Oreochromis niloticus: one gene and its partner. The protein of the gene in region 1 purifies or fractionates together with the protein of each later gene. This does not show direct contact. Links are inferred from orthologs where the notes say so. Each region holds a gene or a part of one and is shown on either strand. Other genes may lie near its edges. The genes, in order: rreb1a and histone deacetylase 2.

The links.
Region 2: the proteins of rreb1a (region 1) and histone deacetylase 2 purify together in Homo sapiens (affinity purification with mass spectrometry; 4 studies listed by BioGRID and IntAct, with this or other methods). This does not show direct contact. The link is inferred for Oreochromis niloticus from reciprocal best matches to the Homo sapiens genes RREB1 and HDAC2.

What each region holds. Positions count from the first base shown.
Region 1 is NC_031974.2:1,763,081-1,771,492, forward strand, and holds the start of rreb1a (ras-responsive element-binding protein 1), read right to left. Parts: upstream 3,350-8,412; 5' UTR 3,120-3,349; coding exon 3,080-3,119; intron 3,074-3,079; exon of another isoform or gene 2,935-3,073; intron 1-2,934.
Region 2 is NC_031980.2:30,565,461-30,574,121, forward strand, and holds the start of histone deacetylase 2, read left to right. Parts: upstream 1-5,036; 5' UTR 5,037-5,175; coding exon 5,176-5,230; intron 5,231-6,756; coding exon 6,757-6,869; intron 6,870-6,961; coding exon 6,962-7,079; intron 7,080-7,356; coding exon 7,357-7,431; intron 7,432-8,495; coding exon 8,496-8,634; intron 8,635-8,661. UniProt on the Homo sapiens protein: Histone deacetylase that catalyzes the deacetylation of lysine residues on the N-terminal part of the core histones (H2A, H2B, H3 and H4).

The DNA of each region.
Region 1 (8,412 bases):
AAAAACCAAAGCAATTGTGGGTAAAAGTGTTACAAAATCACCATAATTTCCTTTTAGAGAGCTACCAGAGCACTAAAGATTGTAATTATAGAAGTAAAGTCACAATCATCTTGCCAAAACTCAGTAATAGTTACAGCTTGACAAATATGGAAACAGAGCATCGCTAACTGCCATTGAAACAAGCCAAAGTCCCTAATGAAACCCATAAATCCACTTTAAAGTGTGTCTGTATAAGCTGAGCTGGACTGCAGCAACAAACAGACGTTACAGGAGTGCGTTAAACAGCAAAATGTTTGAAGAAAAGTTACAAAACGAAGCAATAATACACGCGTAAAGGTCGCTAACATTAGCCAAACAAGCTACTGGTCAATCCAGACTACATGAAGAGGGAGGGGGTAAAAGTTAGCTTGAAAGTCCTCCAGAAAGTGATAAAGTCACCAAAGACTCGCTGTTCCTCAATTTATGATGGATTTGTTTAAAACAAAACAAAACAAAACAAAAACAAACAAACAAAAAAACAAACAAAAAACAAAAACTGCCCCAAAACGAGTATGAAAGAAAAAAATAGCTAAACTTACAGCAAACCCCCACAGGAACAACCATAAACCCACTTTAAGTGAATCATGGCCTTAATTACTGATGATGGGATTATGTTAAAGCCAAAACATACTAACAAAAGTCAATAAACAGGTTCAAGTAAAGTGGGACACCACCCAAACTCCCCTGAGGATGCTGAACTACAGAAGGACGTATTTCTTATTAATCACTCACAACACATTGCCAAAAACTCTGTACTGTTTAAGTAATTAGAGTAAAAGCACTTTTTGTATTCTTACGAAACTTTGTAAAAAGCACTGAAAGTTAGCCAGCTTAGCCAAACTGCGCCGACAGCAGTCATAGGCTGAGCTAAACGCAAAAAAATATACACAAACGTCAACAAAATGAGCTTAATTCAACTTTTTTCTTCTATAACTTAATTTACACCCAACACCCTACATCGAACCATAAAATGGGTCCATTTTATTCAGTATAATTGGAGAAAACGTTAAACAGAAGGAAAATTAAAAGGATTTATTCTCCAGAAACTAAACTACCAAAAACAAACCCACTCACATGAATACAAACCCACTTTAAAGCGACTTTATTCAACTTTTGATGAACTGTGGACACAATTAACTACTGTTGGACTGTGCTCCAAACATACAAGCCAAAACTTTTTAAAGATTTAAAGGGAGTAAAAGTTACAGTTAAAGCCATGAAGTCACCACAGAGTCGCTGTATTCAATGTAATTAGAATAAAAGTCCATTTATTGTGTATAAAATTGTGTTGTATCTGAGAGCCGCGATGGCCTCTGTGCTTTAAACAATGACAGACTCCTCTTACAGTGAGGTTAAAGTTCCTCAGCAGGGAGGTGCACAGAGGTAGAGAGACACTGGGCCAACATGGAGAGAGAGAGAGAGAAAATCCCTAGCAACCATTATCTAACCAGTCCAGCCTGAGACCGAGAAAAACGCCATCGGTCCATCTCCTCTCCCTCCTCGAACTCCGCGGCCATCAATCATTGACCCGGACACCGATAACAGCGCCTCTTTGACACAGTAAAACCGCGTTATGGGAGTTATTTAACAGCCCGGCCAGCATCCTCCGTCGTGTACCAACGCGGAAAAAAAGGAAAAAAAAAAAAAAACACGACGAGGAGGCTAACGGCTAACAGCGCCGCGAAAAAGTTCTCCAAGTCGACGCTTTGGGGCTGGGGGGCGGTTAAAACGGGGGGGCGCCCGGTGGTTACCGTTTAAAATGGAAGTTAGAGCCGAGGATGATGTCGAAAGACAGAAAAGACGGAGCTCGAGGACGGGGGAGGAGGAGGAGAAGGTGGATGCAACAGGCGTCACGTCGATGCTGCTGCTGCGCGTAACCACAGACGGTGGAAAAGTGTCGGGAACGCGGCGAAAAGTCGCCCAACTGCCGCAAAAACTGGCGCAGGTGGAGCGGGCCGGCGAGTTCGGCCGCCTCGCCGCCGTGTTGGGCCGGTTCGTGAATGAACGGGGGTCCCTTTCTACCTAAATATGTCTGGGCAAGGTCATCGCGCTGGCGTCGAGCTCGCTGCCATTAGCGGAAGTCGAGCCACCAAAATAAAAGCTATATTTTCTTTTATTAAGCCAACAGACTTAAACTCACATCCACACGTTTGCGGATGTGTGTACATTATACTAAGTAAAGGAGGCTTTTGTGACTTTTTTCACACACAGTTAAATATAAGAGCAATATGTGATGTGATTTTCACCATGAAATGAATAATTTTACCATTAAACCTGCTTTAGATGTATTAGCACCTATATAAGACCTTCAGTGCCTTCACAAGCCCATAAAAAGCATCTAGAGCCAGACGGCACGGTGAGAAAACCATCATTCACAAAGAAAAGCATCAGCAAACTCAACCACAGTTAAAACCATTAGCTTCAAAGCTGAAGTCTGAATCAATTTCAGGTCAGAGCGCTTACTAACACCAAACGTGAGGTAACCCTTACGGTTCTCCGTGTGCAACAGGTTGTTTTACTTTGAAGAAGTGTCTTTGAGGAAGTACTCCGTCGGTTGCCGTTCGCTTGAGCGCTTAGTTTTACACATGGCCACTAGCCCCGAGGCTTCGACCAAAGTGCATCCGAGATATGGATGCTCGACTCCGGCTGCGAGCTGCAGACTTTGACCTCCCCCCCCACCTCCCTACGCCTCCTAACACCCTCCCCGCGGGGCAAAAACCGCCGAATAACTGCCCTAAACGTGCACACGGGGCGATAAAGTTGCACCAAAAGTCGAAAAACAACAAGTTGCTGAATGAGGAAGAGACACACACACGACTGAATTCCACCGCTTGGATGCGCATCAAACTAGGAAGCAGCCCAGAGAGGAGAGAAAAGTAGTAACGCCACCCTTACCGTCTCCACATCTCCGCTCAAACTTCACCCCTGGCAGCCCAAACAGGCGCAAAGTTCTCCCCGAGAGGCGCAAACAGCGCGGGGAGCCTGCGCAGACACTCGCACAGCACCAAAACTCAGCGATGGAGACGAAAAGGACACTTACGCTTCACTTTGTTGGGGTTGGGCTGCTTGCGCCGAGACATCGTGGCGAGGATGATGGTGGTTGTGGTGATGGGGGGGGCTGATGATGATGATGGTAGATGAACGGCGGTGATCGGGGATGATGAAGGTGATGAAAGAAAAAAAAAAGAAAGGGAGAGAGAGGCTGCAAAGTTGCTCCGCAGAGGAGAGAACTCAAAATGGCGTATTCCGAATGGATGAGCAAACTTGGACAAACTTTACTCCGGCTTCTCCTCCTCCTCCTTTTCTCCCCTCCCCTCCTCCACCTCCTCCTCCTCCTCCTCCCGTGCTGCTGCTGCTTGTCTTCCTCTCTTCCCTCCCGAGGAGGAAAGAAAAAAGTCGACTCGTGGAGAGGAAAATGTCGCTTTGGAGATGTTTTATACTTTAAACTCCTTTAACTCCCAGCTCCCTCCTCCTCTTCCTCCCTCTCTCGGTCTCTCTCTCTCTGTAGCTCTTGCGCACACTCTCTCGCTAAACCTGATAAGTAAAGCTCATCACGTGTTGTCTCCAGTTTCCAAGGGGACGTGGCCACCAAGCATCTCAGTCAGTACGCACAGACACACGGACAGCCGTTACTGGATTACTTATTCCAGCCGTGATGGAACAGGAAACGATCCCACCTGAGAGCTCTGAAACCAAAAAATAAACTTCAAAAGTCCGCAGAGGCCTCGCGGTGCGCAATTTAACTCGCGTGCGCTGCGGATTTCTGCTTTAATGCGCGGAAATATTCACTTTTAAGCAACTTTCTTCCTCAAAGTATTGACATTTTCACCCAGCGTGTCCTCTCACAGCCAGAAAGTCCCCTCGTTTCCTGCCTCGCTTCAGAGTCTCTCAAAGAAACCCGCTTTTACGCCGCTCCTTTATCATTTACGCGGAGTTTCGGGGGCTAAAAAGATAAGAAACCATCCTTTTAAACCCACACACGCTACACGCGCAGCTGCCTCATCTATCGCGAGAGCTCTGCACGCGATTTCAAAGAGGGAGGATGCATAGGGTCAGCCAGAAGCTGGGGAGGTGGCTGTGGAAGACTGTGCTACCGTTTCCAGGGAGGTGTTGGTGAAGCAGTCACTTTGTTTTCCGGGATGAAGCGAAGAAATGCGCGTGGGGGAGAAACTCGAAAGTTCACATAAAGACGTTGAAGTCGAACTAAATCACGTGCAGGTACCTCTGTGCTCCATCCATGGACACGCAGCAGGAGTCATGTGACCCGCGATAGTGGTGATTAGCTCAAACTCAATAATCCCATGTTTTATTTTCAACATGCACATGTTTTAGTTTGGACAGGATTATGTAAAATTACAAACTAAAACATTTTCACTTCACATTAAAGTTCATTTCAAAGAACTCCAATGCACTGAGTCTACTGATTATGAGTTAAATGCTTCTTTGTTTCTATTTCTTAAGTATTGTAAACTTAAATCTGATTTCCCTGTGGATGCTGTGTGTCAACTTTCCATGAAAATCTAAAGGATGTGACGTTTATGTGAGCTCCCGAGTGCCTCGAGACCCCACTACATCCTCACACACGAATAACCTCAGCCGGAGCGAACCATCGGGCAGCCCAGCACAGGAATAAACACTGAAGGTACAGAGCTCTACAGGGAGGCTCTGGAAGTAAAACCCTTAAGAAAGTCCTGACATTCGAAGTGTAACCCTAAAATGAAGCCAACTAGCCACGAGGTGAATCATGAACACAAAAAGTTTGATTTGGATCAAAAAAGAGTAACTAAAAGAGGCAAAGTCTGTGTACATGATTACTTTTACAGCTGAAGGAACTACTCCCACAATGCAGTGCAACTCTCACATTCACCTTGGCACTTTTAATCCTCTTCATTATTTGTTGTGTATGTGTGCGTGTAGGCTAGTTACCAGTATTGGGGTGAGATATTACTTTTTAAAAGTAGTGCATAGTGTTACTTAATGACTTCCTGGAGAAAGTAACCCTTTCCACTTACTCGTTACTTTGGTGTGAGTCTGTAATATGGTCTGAAATGCATTGCTACAGTTACCAGTATAAACCTGAGGCTCGCTCACACAGACCCCTGTCCTAATGAGGACACATATAAGATGTGTAAGTGTCAACACAACACTCACAACATAAAGAAAAAAGAAGATGTTAACCAGCCCAAAGACACTTTAAAGCCATCACCATGGTGATTTAAGAAAATGAGGAGACCTGAATGTAGTACAGTTACATGTTACATTACTGTGTTACTGAAAAATGTCATGTAACTTCAGTAATGCGTCATATTGATAGCACTGCTAGCTATCATTATAGCACGGTGCTTTATTCTTGGCTGTAATCATTGCCTGGGCTGCTTCTGAAGTTTCACGGTCACAAAGCAAACAGAAATTCATGGGTTTAAAAGTTTCTATGGCAACAGTGATTTAGGATTATGGGTAGAGTACTTGTTTTTCACAGTAAAACGTTTTTTATTCAAATAAGCTCAATTTTATACAGACATGAAGTTCAGAGTGTCGTAGCTCATCTTGAATCTGCTTTGATGGCTATAACTTCGTGGCTCATAATCAAAATCCCTGAAGATAATATCATACTGGTACTTTTTAATCCCAGAAATTTACTGTTGATCTTACAGTTTAGTCAGGACTCAAACTAAAGTTAGCCTGCTAACTGCTACATGGGTTAGCAAGCTGTCTGGTGTAACAGGTATGCTAACATTGGCTAACATTAGCCAGAAGAAAGCTAGTTTTACCCAAATGCTCAAAATCATTCAGTCTAATGAGAGAGTTTCTGATTACAGCTAGCTAACACTAGCTTGTCTGCTAACATGGACCAATACAACAATACAACAATAACAAGCTATGCAGCACAGCAAAACTATACACCTAAAAACAAATTATTTAATTTTGTGTTTACTTTGACTATTACGATAGTTCTGTGGTATGCGTTCTACCTTATGAGCTACATGCCATTCTACTCATTAAGGATTTTTGTAGTCTTTAGCTTAATTTCTAACCATGTAAAAAAAAACTTATTTTTTGAAGATGGAATAAATAAAACTTATCTTATGCTAACATATCTTACCTTAATTAATCCAAAATACTGGGGCTGATGTGGCTAGCAGTGTTGCTAACTCCTCAGTAAGGAAAATCGCTATTGGCTGTCCTAAAAGTAGCTAGAAGTCGCTAAATGACGTCATCACCTAATTTGCATAATTGGTCATGCTAATGTAATTGTAACCTACCTTGTAGGAGAGAAAAATAACATCATGGAAGCGACATAAAGTGAGTTAAAAACGTCCTAAATGCATTTAGAATTTATTTACAACTACAAATTAAATGTCTTTTAGCAATTATTGTTTTTTTTTTAATGTCACAATTCCAACCCTACTCCTTTATCTGGGCTTGGACTGGCAAAAGTGACATGAAATTGGCACACTGGTGGAGTTACATTGTGTAACTTGTCGCTAGTCACTTTTTAGAAAAAAAGTCGCTAAGGGGGTCTGAAAACTCGCTAAATATAGCGACAAAGTCGCTAAGTTGGCAACACTGGTGGCTAGTGGGTTAGCTTGAGATTTTCAAGCTAATGGACTATTAGTGAGAGATTTATGTAACATAACTTAACAAATTTAGCTAACGAACCATAGCTTCTTTTCTTCCTAATAAAGGTAATGTATATGAATGGAAATGTTATTAGCGGGTATCTGTGTCAGTGTGATATAACCATGCACTTTATGGCTAAAGCTAGCAAACAAAGCTAGCTAGCATTAGCTAATGACTCAGCAGTCCATTATTTTTCCAAATATGCTCATTCCGGCTCCAAGAAAACAATATACCAACTAAAGCCATTGTAAAATATGGAGATAGTTATAGTGTGACCCACTGTGCTTGAGCCATCTTGGTAGGAAAAATCCAGATGTGATGAGGAAGATTAGGTTAGTGACTTATGACTGACAATTCATCAGCCAATGAGCTTGCAGTTCCGTGGAAAAAGATAATCGTCCATTTAGAAACATGGTATGATCTAAATTTATGAAACAGGCTCAGTATTTTATTCAATATGACACAAAGTGAGTGTCTCAGCAAAAAAAAAGTGTATTTCCATAAACTTGTACAGGACTGGAAATCTTTTCGAAACTACAGCTATCCCCATCTGGTGGCTCTCAGACAGAATGCAGGTTTTTAGGCACTTCCACAGTGGTTATGTCCACGATTTACACCGTCAATGGCACCGTCACAAACTCTGAGGCTTCAAAACGTAGCCTCCAAAATCAGTGGTTGACATCACGTTGGCTACATACAGTGTGTGGAGCATCGCGCTTCATACCAAGCTAAAGGTCATAAAACACGAGCGATCTCTGACACTCAGTGCTCAGAGTTGAACCCTCACAGAGCCTGAACTTTATGAGGCTGAAACTCTCCACTACAGAAACCTGCTCCGCGATTTCAAGGCGGCACTGACCTTTGTGCAAATCACTCCACTGTTAAGGACCTCAGAGAACAATGTACCTCCTCTGGGGTATGTTGGGTGGGGCTGATGTATTAAAGCAGTGGCCCTTAAACTGTTGTGACATGATGGCACTGGAGGTGGGGCAGCAGTGGGACAATAAGTGTAATGAGTATCATTTTCTAAGGAAAACAAACAAGAGTGTACCTGTGCTATGGAGCTGCCTCTTATTTCACAAACATCCAGCTTGTTCCATTTTTTATTTACAGTAATTAATAGAAAGGCGCACGTAGACCGAACACTAAGAATGGATCCAAGAACGTTCTTTGGTTTTAAAAGAAAACCACATAAATGCTGCATTAGAATAAAGGTCATCAGACAAAAGTAGAAATTGAAAAGCTTTTTGATATTTCTGTTTCTGCTGGTAGGCTGGGCTCATTTAGTTTCCCTCTCAGGACGTCAGGGGGCAGTTTTAACACCAACAGGTTTAAGTTAGACAGAATCTCCTGAAGCTCAGCAGATGCTGATTCATCACCTGAACCAGATTCCCAGAGGAAACGAGCATGGCTTTTCCTTTCAGCAGGAGTTATTCTCCTCACTGCACAGAGCTGCCCACCCTTCCCCCTTCTGGGCTCTAGGTCCACTCGCTCATCCACAGAGGGTGTCCACACAGGAAAATTCCTCAAACTTCTTTTTGAACTCACATTTTCACATGATTTCCACGTGAATCATTTATTCCGTCATTCCTGATAAAGTGATTCACCCAGAACGAGAGTAGGGAAACACCCAAAGTCTTGTCTGTCATCATCATCAGTAGCAGGCTGAACTAGCCCGATACCGTCAGAGAGGCTCTTCTTGCTCGGCTGCAGGGGAGAAAAAGGAGGAGGGGTGTGATGGGAGGAGAGATG
Region 2 (8,661 bases), on another chromosome or scaffold:
ATACGGTACACCACTTCCGTTAGCCGCTCCACGACCTCCGCCGTCCCTTGCCAGTGACTGCACAGTTTGGGGGACACTCCTCTCTTGCGAACCGGGCAGTACACCCAAACCTTGTCGCCAGGCACAAAAACCTCCCCCCGGCACTTGGTGTCGTAGGCTCTTTTCTGTCGTACTCCGGCGCTGGCCTGGGCCTGGCGGGTGTAGTCGTGAACCACCTGCAGCCGCTCCCTCAGCCTCCTGTAGTAGTCCATCTCTGGCCCACCGTCAATCTCCGGCTCGGGGGGGACCCAAACACCAGATCCACAGGCGTCCGGAGCTCCCGCCCAAACATCAAAGCGGCAGGCGTGCACTGGCTGGACTCCTGAACCGCAGTCCGATACGACCAAAGGACCAGGGGCAGATGTTGGTCCCAATCCCGCTGGTGGCGGCTGGTGAGAATGGCGAGCTGGGTAGCCAGTGTGCGGTTAAAACGCTCAACCAAGCCATCGCTTTGCGGGTAGAGCGGTGTGGTTCTTGTCTTCTCCACCCCCAGCCGCCGGCAAATCTCCCCAAAGACCTTCGATTCGAAGTTGCGCCCCTGGTCACTGTGGAGCTCAGCTGGGACCCCAAAACAGGTGAACATCTCCTCCACCAGCCTCTCTGCCGTCGTCGTCACACTCTGGTCCGGTACCGCGTAGGCCTCCGGCCACTTTGTGAAATAGTCCATCGCCACCAGCACGTACTGGTTCCCTGACTCCGTAACGGGGAAAGGCCCTAGGACGTCCACTCCCACTCGCTCCATCGGGGCCCCCACCAAGTACTGCTGAAGGGGGGCAGTGGAGCGTTGAGTGGGGCCCTTCTGCGCCGTGCAGGTGTCACAGCAGTGCACGTGAAGTTCCACATCCCGTCGACAGCCAGGCTAGTAGAACCGTCCCCTGAGGCGGCGGAGAGTTTTGGCGTTCCCATAGTGGCCTGCCCCCACCGAGCCGTGGACAAGCTCAAGCACCTGCGACCGCAGCGACCGAGGCACCAACAGCTGCAGGAGATCTCTGCCCTGACCGGGGGCCTGCCATCTCCGGTACAGGAGGCCGTCGTGGGTCTCCAGGTTGTTGTGCTGGGAGTAGTAGGCCTTCACCTCGGGCTCCTGACCCGACACCCCCGTCCAGTCTGGGCGTTGCGCCGCCTCCAGCCAGGCCCCCACCTGAACCAACGTCGCGTCGGCCTCCTGCTCCCGCTTCAGCTGCTGCATTGTCAATGGGAGCCACCCCCCTCCGCTGGCTGTGGCCTGAGCAGTAGCCACCCCCAGCACCTCCTGGGCCCGCTCCTCCTGTTGCAGACAGTAGCGGCACTCGACGGCCATGCAGGGCCGTCTGGAGAGGGCATCAGCGTTGCCATGCTGCCGACCTGCCCGATGCTGGATCTCAAAGTCGTAGCCCTGAAGGACCTCCAGCCAGCGGGCCACCTGACCTTCTGGGTGTTTGAAATTCAGGAGCCAGGTCAGAGATGCATGGTCAGTGCGCAGGAGGAACCGGCAGCCGTGCAGGTATGGCCGGAAGTGCCGCACCGCTAGCACTACGGCCAGCAGCTCCCGCCGGGTCACGCAGTAGTTGCTCTCGGCTCGCCCCAGAGCACGGCTGAAGTATGCCACCACTCGTTCTCCAGCCTCGCCCTGCTGGGAAAGGACCGCCCCGACTCCTACATTGCTAGCGTCAGTGTCCACAATGAAAGGTTGCCGGGCGTCGGGGTAGGCCAGAACTGGGGCTCTGGTGAGGGCCTCCTTCAGCTGTGCAAAAGCCGCAGTGCAGGCATCACCCCAGCCAAACAGCTGGCACTTGTCAGTCAGGCGGTGGAGGGGGCTGGCCATCATCGCAAACCCCTTGATGAACCGACGGTAGTAGGAGGCTAGGCCCAGGAAGCTCCGCAGTTCTTTGACGTTCGAGGGAGTCGGCCAGTCCCTGACCGCAGCCACCTTTGTGGAATCGGTGGCGATACCTTGAGCGCTGATCACATGGCCCAAGAACGTAGTCTCTCTCGCCAACACCCGGCACTTCGCAGGGTTGAGCCGCAGCCCAGCTCGACGGATGGCGCTGAAGACCTCGCTCAGGTGAGACAGTGCACTGTCGAAGTCGCCACCGTGCACCAACAGGTCATCCAGGTACACAACACAGCGGCTACGAGGGATGTTCACGAGCACCCTCTCCATCAGCCTCTCAAACGTCGCTGGCGCATTGCAAAGCCCAAATGGCATGACCCTGAACTGCCACAGCCCCTGTCCAATGGTGAATGCAGTCTTAGGCCTTGCTTCGGGGGCTAGCTCCACCTGCCAGTAGCCACTGCGTAGGTCGAGGGAGCTGAACCAGCTGGAGCCGGTAACGTAATCCAGGGCCTCGTCGATCCGTGGAAGCGGGTACGAGTCCTTCTTGGTGACTGCGTTCAGACAGCGAAAATCCACGCAGAACCTCAGGCTGCCATCCTTCTTCACACCAGGACTACGGGTGCCGCCCATGGGCTGTTGGACGGCTCGATCACCCCAGCCGCAGCCATCTCACGGATCTTTTCCTCCGCCACCTGCCGTTTGGAGAGGGGCAGCCGGTGCGGGTGCAGACGGATGGGTTGAGCAGAGCCGGTGTCGATGGTGTGCTGGACCAGCCCCGTCTGCCTGCAGTCTTTGTCACTGGCGGCAAAGATGTCCACATTCTCGTCCAGGAGGCACCTCAACCGCTGGCGCTGGTCAACGTTGAGACCTACGCTGCTGCGCTGCCACAGGTCACCAACAGCCTCGGTTGTCTCGGTCGAGGGAGATTTGTCGGGCTGAGAGGCCGGGGCTGAGGTGAGTAGAGATGACCCGGAGCCACCAGCACCCGAAATCTGCTGAGCGGCAGCCGCCCGACGCCTGTCTCGTCTGGCTCTGGTTCCCTCTGCTCCCTGCTTTTGACCGCACTGGAGGGCAAGAGTCTCTGTGCCAAGAGTGATAGCCCGCTTTGCGGTGTCGACGCAGGCCCCCCAGTGGGTCAGCAGATCAAGGCCGATGATGCACTGGTCTTGAATGTCAGCAAGCCAGAAGTCATGCACCAGCTCCAGATCCTTCACTCGGACCCGCAACGGTTTCTTCCCCCGCATATCAGCCCTCTCACCCGTCACCGTCATCAGCTGGGTGTCGGTGGGCGACCAACCCTTCACCAATGGCCCGGACGTTCCAGGGAGCACGCCAGGTCGTATCAGGGAAATGGTGGGGCGAACATCTCCTCCATGTTTGGGGGGGGCACCTGCTGGTTAGGTTGCGAGGTGAACACCAGCTCGGCCCTCTCAGCCTCAAGGAGCGCCTCACAGAGAGTTTGAGGCATGGCCAGGCGGACGTGTTGGCATAGTCGCTCTGGAAAACGTCCTCGCAGAAAAGCATGCAGGCTAAGCTCCTCATGGGCTGCTGCTGGGAACTCCGGGTAGCCACGACGAGCATGCAGCAACACGTCCACTGCAAAGGTGCCCAGGCTCTCCCCCGGCCGACGGCTCCGGTTGGTCAGCTGCTCTCTGCTCTGATCAGTGGAGTGCCGCTGCCCGAATCGCCTCTCGAGTGCTATGGTGAGGGCCTGGAGCTCATGCTGCTCCGACGGGGCTAGGTCAAGGAGTACCTGCAGTGCATCTCCTTCCAATGCTAGCGCTAGGTGTGTAGCAGCCTCTTCGTCGCTCCAGACATTATGCCTCGCGGCTAGCCGTACTTGTGAGAGGTAGGGCTCTAGCGGGGTTAGCCCGTTGTATTTCGGTACCTTAGCTGGCGTTGCAGGCATCACTGCTCGCTGTCGGGGGCTCGGTGTGTCGGTCGACAGAGGCAGCCCATGAAGCATTGCCCCAGCGTCTGTCGCGATGGGCCGCCGCTGCGGTGCGCTCGCGCCGTCGGGACCCGTCGGGGGACTTACATGGCTGCTCGCTTCCTCTCTCCTCGATCGCCAGCTTCCCAAGCAGCGGATGCTCTCCTCGACAGCTTGCTCCAGCCTCCGAATGTCTCTCTCCATTATGGCGAGGGTGAGCAATCCCACTTCTGACACCAATGTGGCGAGCTCAGACACGGAGGAGACAGAGGTTTCTTTGGGAGCACCCGTTTATTTACAACCGGCCCAGAACACTGCCGCTACCTCCCTCCTCAGCGCGGCAACAACAACATAAGAACAAAAAAGGCGCTCTCTCCCCGAGAGAGCGCGTCACTCATCACTATGACAACAGAAAACAGAACTATAATAACAAAACCCCTTAACAACCCTGACCCGCTACAATATCAATATTTTTTTTAAAGTAAAAATGTCTGCATTTGGAAAATGCAGGGGCAGTGGAGCAAAAAATTTACACACTACACATATAGTCATATATATCAGAGATTTCTACATTGGCATTGATTGCGTTGTATCTGAACAGTACTGTACAGGATTACCGGTGCACAAAGAATTTGGAACCACTTATGTCAAGCTATGAGAGGATTCTGTCTGCCATGATTTTCTTTAAGTGGACATTTCCCCAACTTTCACTATATAGATATATAATGTTCAGATATCAGACTTGTTAAAATGTGGTCTGGTTCTCAAAAGCCTTCCACTCAGATATAGCTCCATAACAACACTTTAACTGTGGATAAGAAGAAGAACTGATTAGTACTCTTGTACAACCTGATAAGTTAACAGCCCCAGCTCTGCCTTAAGTCCATGTGCAAATCTATACTGGCTTTTTTGATATTACTCTCTTAAAATTCCTTTAAAGCGCAGAATAAAATCAGGGCATTGCCCAAAAATGACTTTTGTGATATCTAGCACAATGCAGGAAATCAGAAAATTCTCTCTGGGATAAATATGCAACCAAACCAGGTGAAAACTGGAGAAAAAAAAATCTAATTCTAATTCTATTGCATGGTAGTAAGAAATTAATTAATGTAAAGGATAAAGCGGTGGAACTGAATTTTATGAAGCGCGTTTTTACCATGTTTCACACATCCTTGAAAGTCCATTTTACCATACTCTGGGTTGAGTGGGACTCCTCGCGGTGGGGTAAGTGGCCTACCGAAGTTGTCTGACCCGCCCCTCCCCGCCGAAGTTGCGCCTCCCATTCACCGACTTTCCGCCGTGTGTAGTTATGTGTTGATGCCGTCCATCCCATCTTCTGTCTGCTCAAGCACATTCAAACCAACTTTTTATTTCTAGAGGAACTTTTAAAATGGCTTACACGACCGCAGGTGGGACAAAGAAGAAGGTCTGCTACTACTACGACGGTATGGGACATCCTGAGCGTGTGAATGGGGAGCCCAAACTGAGCCATCTGGCAGGCTAACGCTAGCCAGCTAGTCAGTGTAGCTGCTGGTGAATGGTGAAAATAACACTAGCAAGCTAACGAGTAGGCGCTAATGACCAGCGTTTGAAAGGTCTCCGCGGTGCAAAGAGAGTATTCGTGTGTTAACTGTTAAAATGAGTAAAAGTTTTAAAAAATCACCTTACGTAAACCGAGCCAGAGAAAAGAGGAGGGCTTCGGTTAAATTAATGTTGAGAATTAGCGACACAAGCATTCATTGTCACGATTGTATAACTTTGTGCACGGGCTTTGTACACCTCGTTACCTCTGTCAAATCAAAATGATTAGGAACTGATGAGTCGACGTCAGAGTTACATTCGTGAAAATAATAAAGCAAAATGTGCCACTGTTGCACACAATTAAGTGCTCAGGCCTTATTAGAGCGTATCACCGTGTTGTCTAACATCACACTATCTCATAAGAGAAACCACTTATTTGTATTCCTCGTGTACAGGGAACATAGTTACAGTGTCTTGTCAGAGGTTTGCAGAGACTCGCAGTAAAAACTAACTTTGTTCACACATAGCCCTGCATTCAGTTTACATGTACTAGAACTCAACCGTGCATTCAGTTTTCCTCTGAATGTTTAACAGTCAAATGCTGTGTTATTGTTGTTTTTATGTTGCTTTTTATGTCTCACTAAACACAACAACCCAGTTGTTTTTTTCTCTTTTCTACTGTCCGTGCTATTCCTCTGAGGTTGCATTTGCTCTTGCACCCGTGTACTGGGTGGTTGGCTACAGCCTCGTGAACTTTATACTTTTTAATAATATTGGCAACTGAGATCAGGAGTTCATTCATAGTCTGAAGAAGGTGTAGTGAGCTATTGTAGGATAACTGCATGTGCAGGTAAAATTGAAGTAAACATCACTGTTTGACCTGCACAGTCTTGTGATCTACTTCTTGGTGGTAAGCAAACATAGTTTTCCAGTTACATTAAAAATGCTTGAATGATACTTATGGTATTACACCGTGACTGATCTTGCTGTTGTTGCCCGCTGTTGTTGTTTTGAGAAAAACTCTGTTCGCTTTCCTTTTCTGTTATTTGCTGTTCTAGCATTATGCTTGTGTCATGCTAGTTGTTAAGTTAGCAGCCACAGAATATCTCAAAGATTTAAAACAGCTAATACCTTAACATATGGGGGTTTTATTTGGTCTTTTTGTTTGGTGTTTGTGGTCACTATTAGAACAGGAACAGCCAATAATTAAGAAGGGGGAAAAAAGAAGCACAGTGCACACATTTTGCATTTTGTCAATTTTGATGAAAAATACAAAATGTGCTTTTTTATAGAATATGTAAATGAGTGACTGTGACTTGGAGTGTAAAATCTCTTTTGTTGGTCAGAGAGACCCTGAAAAGCATCCATTTTTATTTTCATTCACAGCTTCAATTAATAATTATTATCGGATGGAAATGTGTTTCTCATCTCGTTCCTTTTGTCTTTGCAGGTGACATAGGAAATTATTACTATGGACAGGGGCACCCCATGAAACCACATCGTATCCGGATGACCCACAACTTACTTCTGAACTATGGACTGTACAGGAAGATGGAGGTCTATGTATGTTTTCCAAGCATGTGACACTAAGCATACCGTAAGTTCTGGCCTTCCTTGTTGTAGTTTCCACCCAGCTGGTTTGTCTTGTGTTTCAGAGGCCACACAAAGCCACTGCAGACGAGATGACAAAATATCACAGTGATGACTACATCAAGTTCCTCCGATCCATACGACCAGACAACATGTCAGAGTTCAGCAAACAGATGCAGAGGTGTAAGTCATCGTGTCCTCTTTGGGACATTACAGAATTTTGTAAACTATTCCAAGTACGGAATACAAGGAGCTCCTCTGCTCTTCTGTTTCCATTCATACTGCTCAAACTATTTACTCAGCCAAAGAGTGTAATTGTCTGAGATGTGAACACTGAACAGTCAGGAAGTTGTGGAGTTTTAGGTTATGGTGTATGAGTAAGAAAGTTCTGTAGTAGGAATTTTGAACACCTTCCTGTTTTGGGGTTTCCTATTTATTTATGTATTTATTTACTCTGCAGTCAATGTTGGGGAGGACTGTCCGGTATTCGATGGCTTGTTTGAGTTCTGCCAACTGTCTGCTGGTGGTTCAGCTGGTAAGTTGTGCTAATGATGAATCAGATGTTGCTAAGCGGTCATATAAAAGGTCTTGATAAGTCAGTTGAGTCAAGCTATCTGAATGATTATGTTAGAGATATACTGTAAAATAGATACTCAGATCCTAACTGATACTAAAACTGATGATCGGATTAGTTACTCATTTATAGCAGTATCAGTGCCCACAGTGCTGTCTTTGCCTCTGCCAGCTGACACACTACTTCCCACAGAGCCACAGCAGACAAGCAGGAACATGCACCACGTGATGACATTCACAACACTCACAATATTTTGTGAGGAACATCAGGAAGTCATAAACCTCCTGTTTCAGCGACATTGTACCTATCTGTAACAACAGTCCTGCCTATTTGTAACATTAATAGACGCTGTCAATTTAACAGAATAACACAATTATTTGTATCTAAAAAGTCTTGTGGTTCTCAGTCATTTCTACATTGTATTTGGAAGGATAATATTCCTAGAGACATGACTGTCATTGGAATAACAGGTCAGGATTGAATCCCCTACAAGACCCTATAATAATGAATACTAATCTTGTTTTGCGTAACTTTGTGAACCACCTTTGTAATCCTGAGGATTTGGTGGGACTCCTGAAGTTCCCTCACTAAACCCCAAATCCTGCTTTGTGGTACAAGCTACAAGCACTGTGTTTGTTGACAAGTCATCAACCTGAGTAGAATGAAACATGATCTGTATAGTTAGCCCCAACCATTTTTATAAATAGTCCTCTATAAAAGGACAGACAGAAAGCTGTAACTGCTCATGTAGGACCTCATTACTGTCAGTCAAATCCTTGAGAAGCAAAGTCAGTGCAGTGGTCATTAGACTGGGGCAGCAAATTCTTTTTATTGTCACCTGTTCCTGGAGAGCACAGTTACAGGAACAAGTTCTTGGCTTTCTGTTGTCCAGCTGTTTCAGTGCCAGCCTTGACTAACAATTTTTCAGGTTATGACAACAAAGTTAGACTAAGTGATTAACTCATCAGATATATATCAGTTTCTTTACAAACCACATAATCAAACATGTTTCCTGTTCTGCACAGCTGGCTCAGTGAAGCTGAACCGACAACAGACAGACATTGCAGTGAATTGGGCAGGAGGACTCCACCATGCAAAGAAATCTGAGGCCTCAGGGTTCTGTTACGTCAATGACATTGTGCTGGCCATCCTGGAGCTGCTCAAGTGAGAATATTTCCTGCTTTGTTTCCC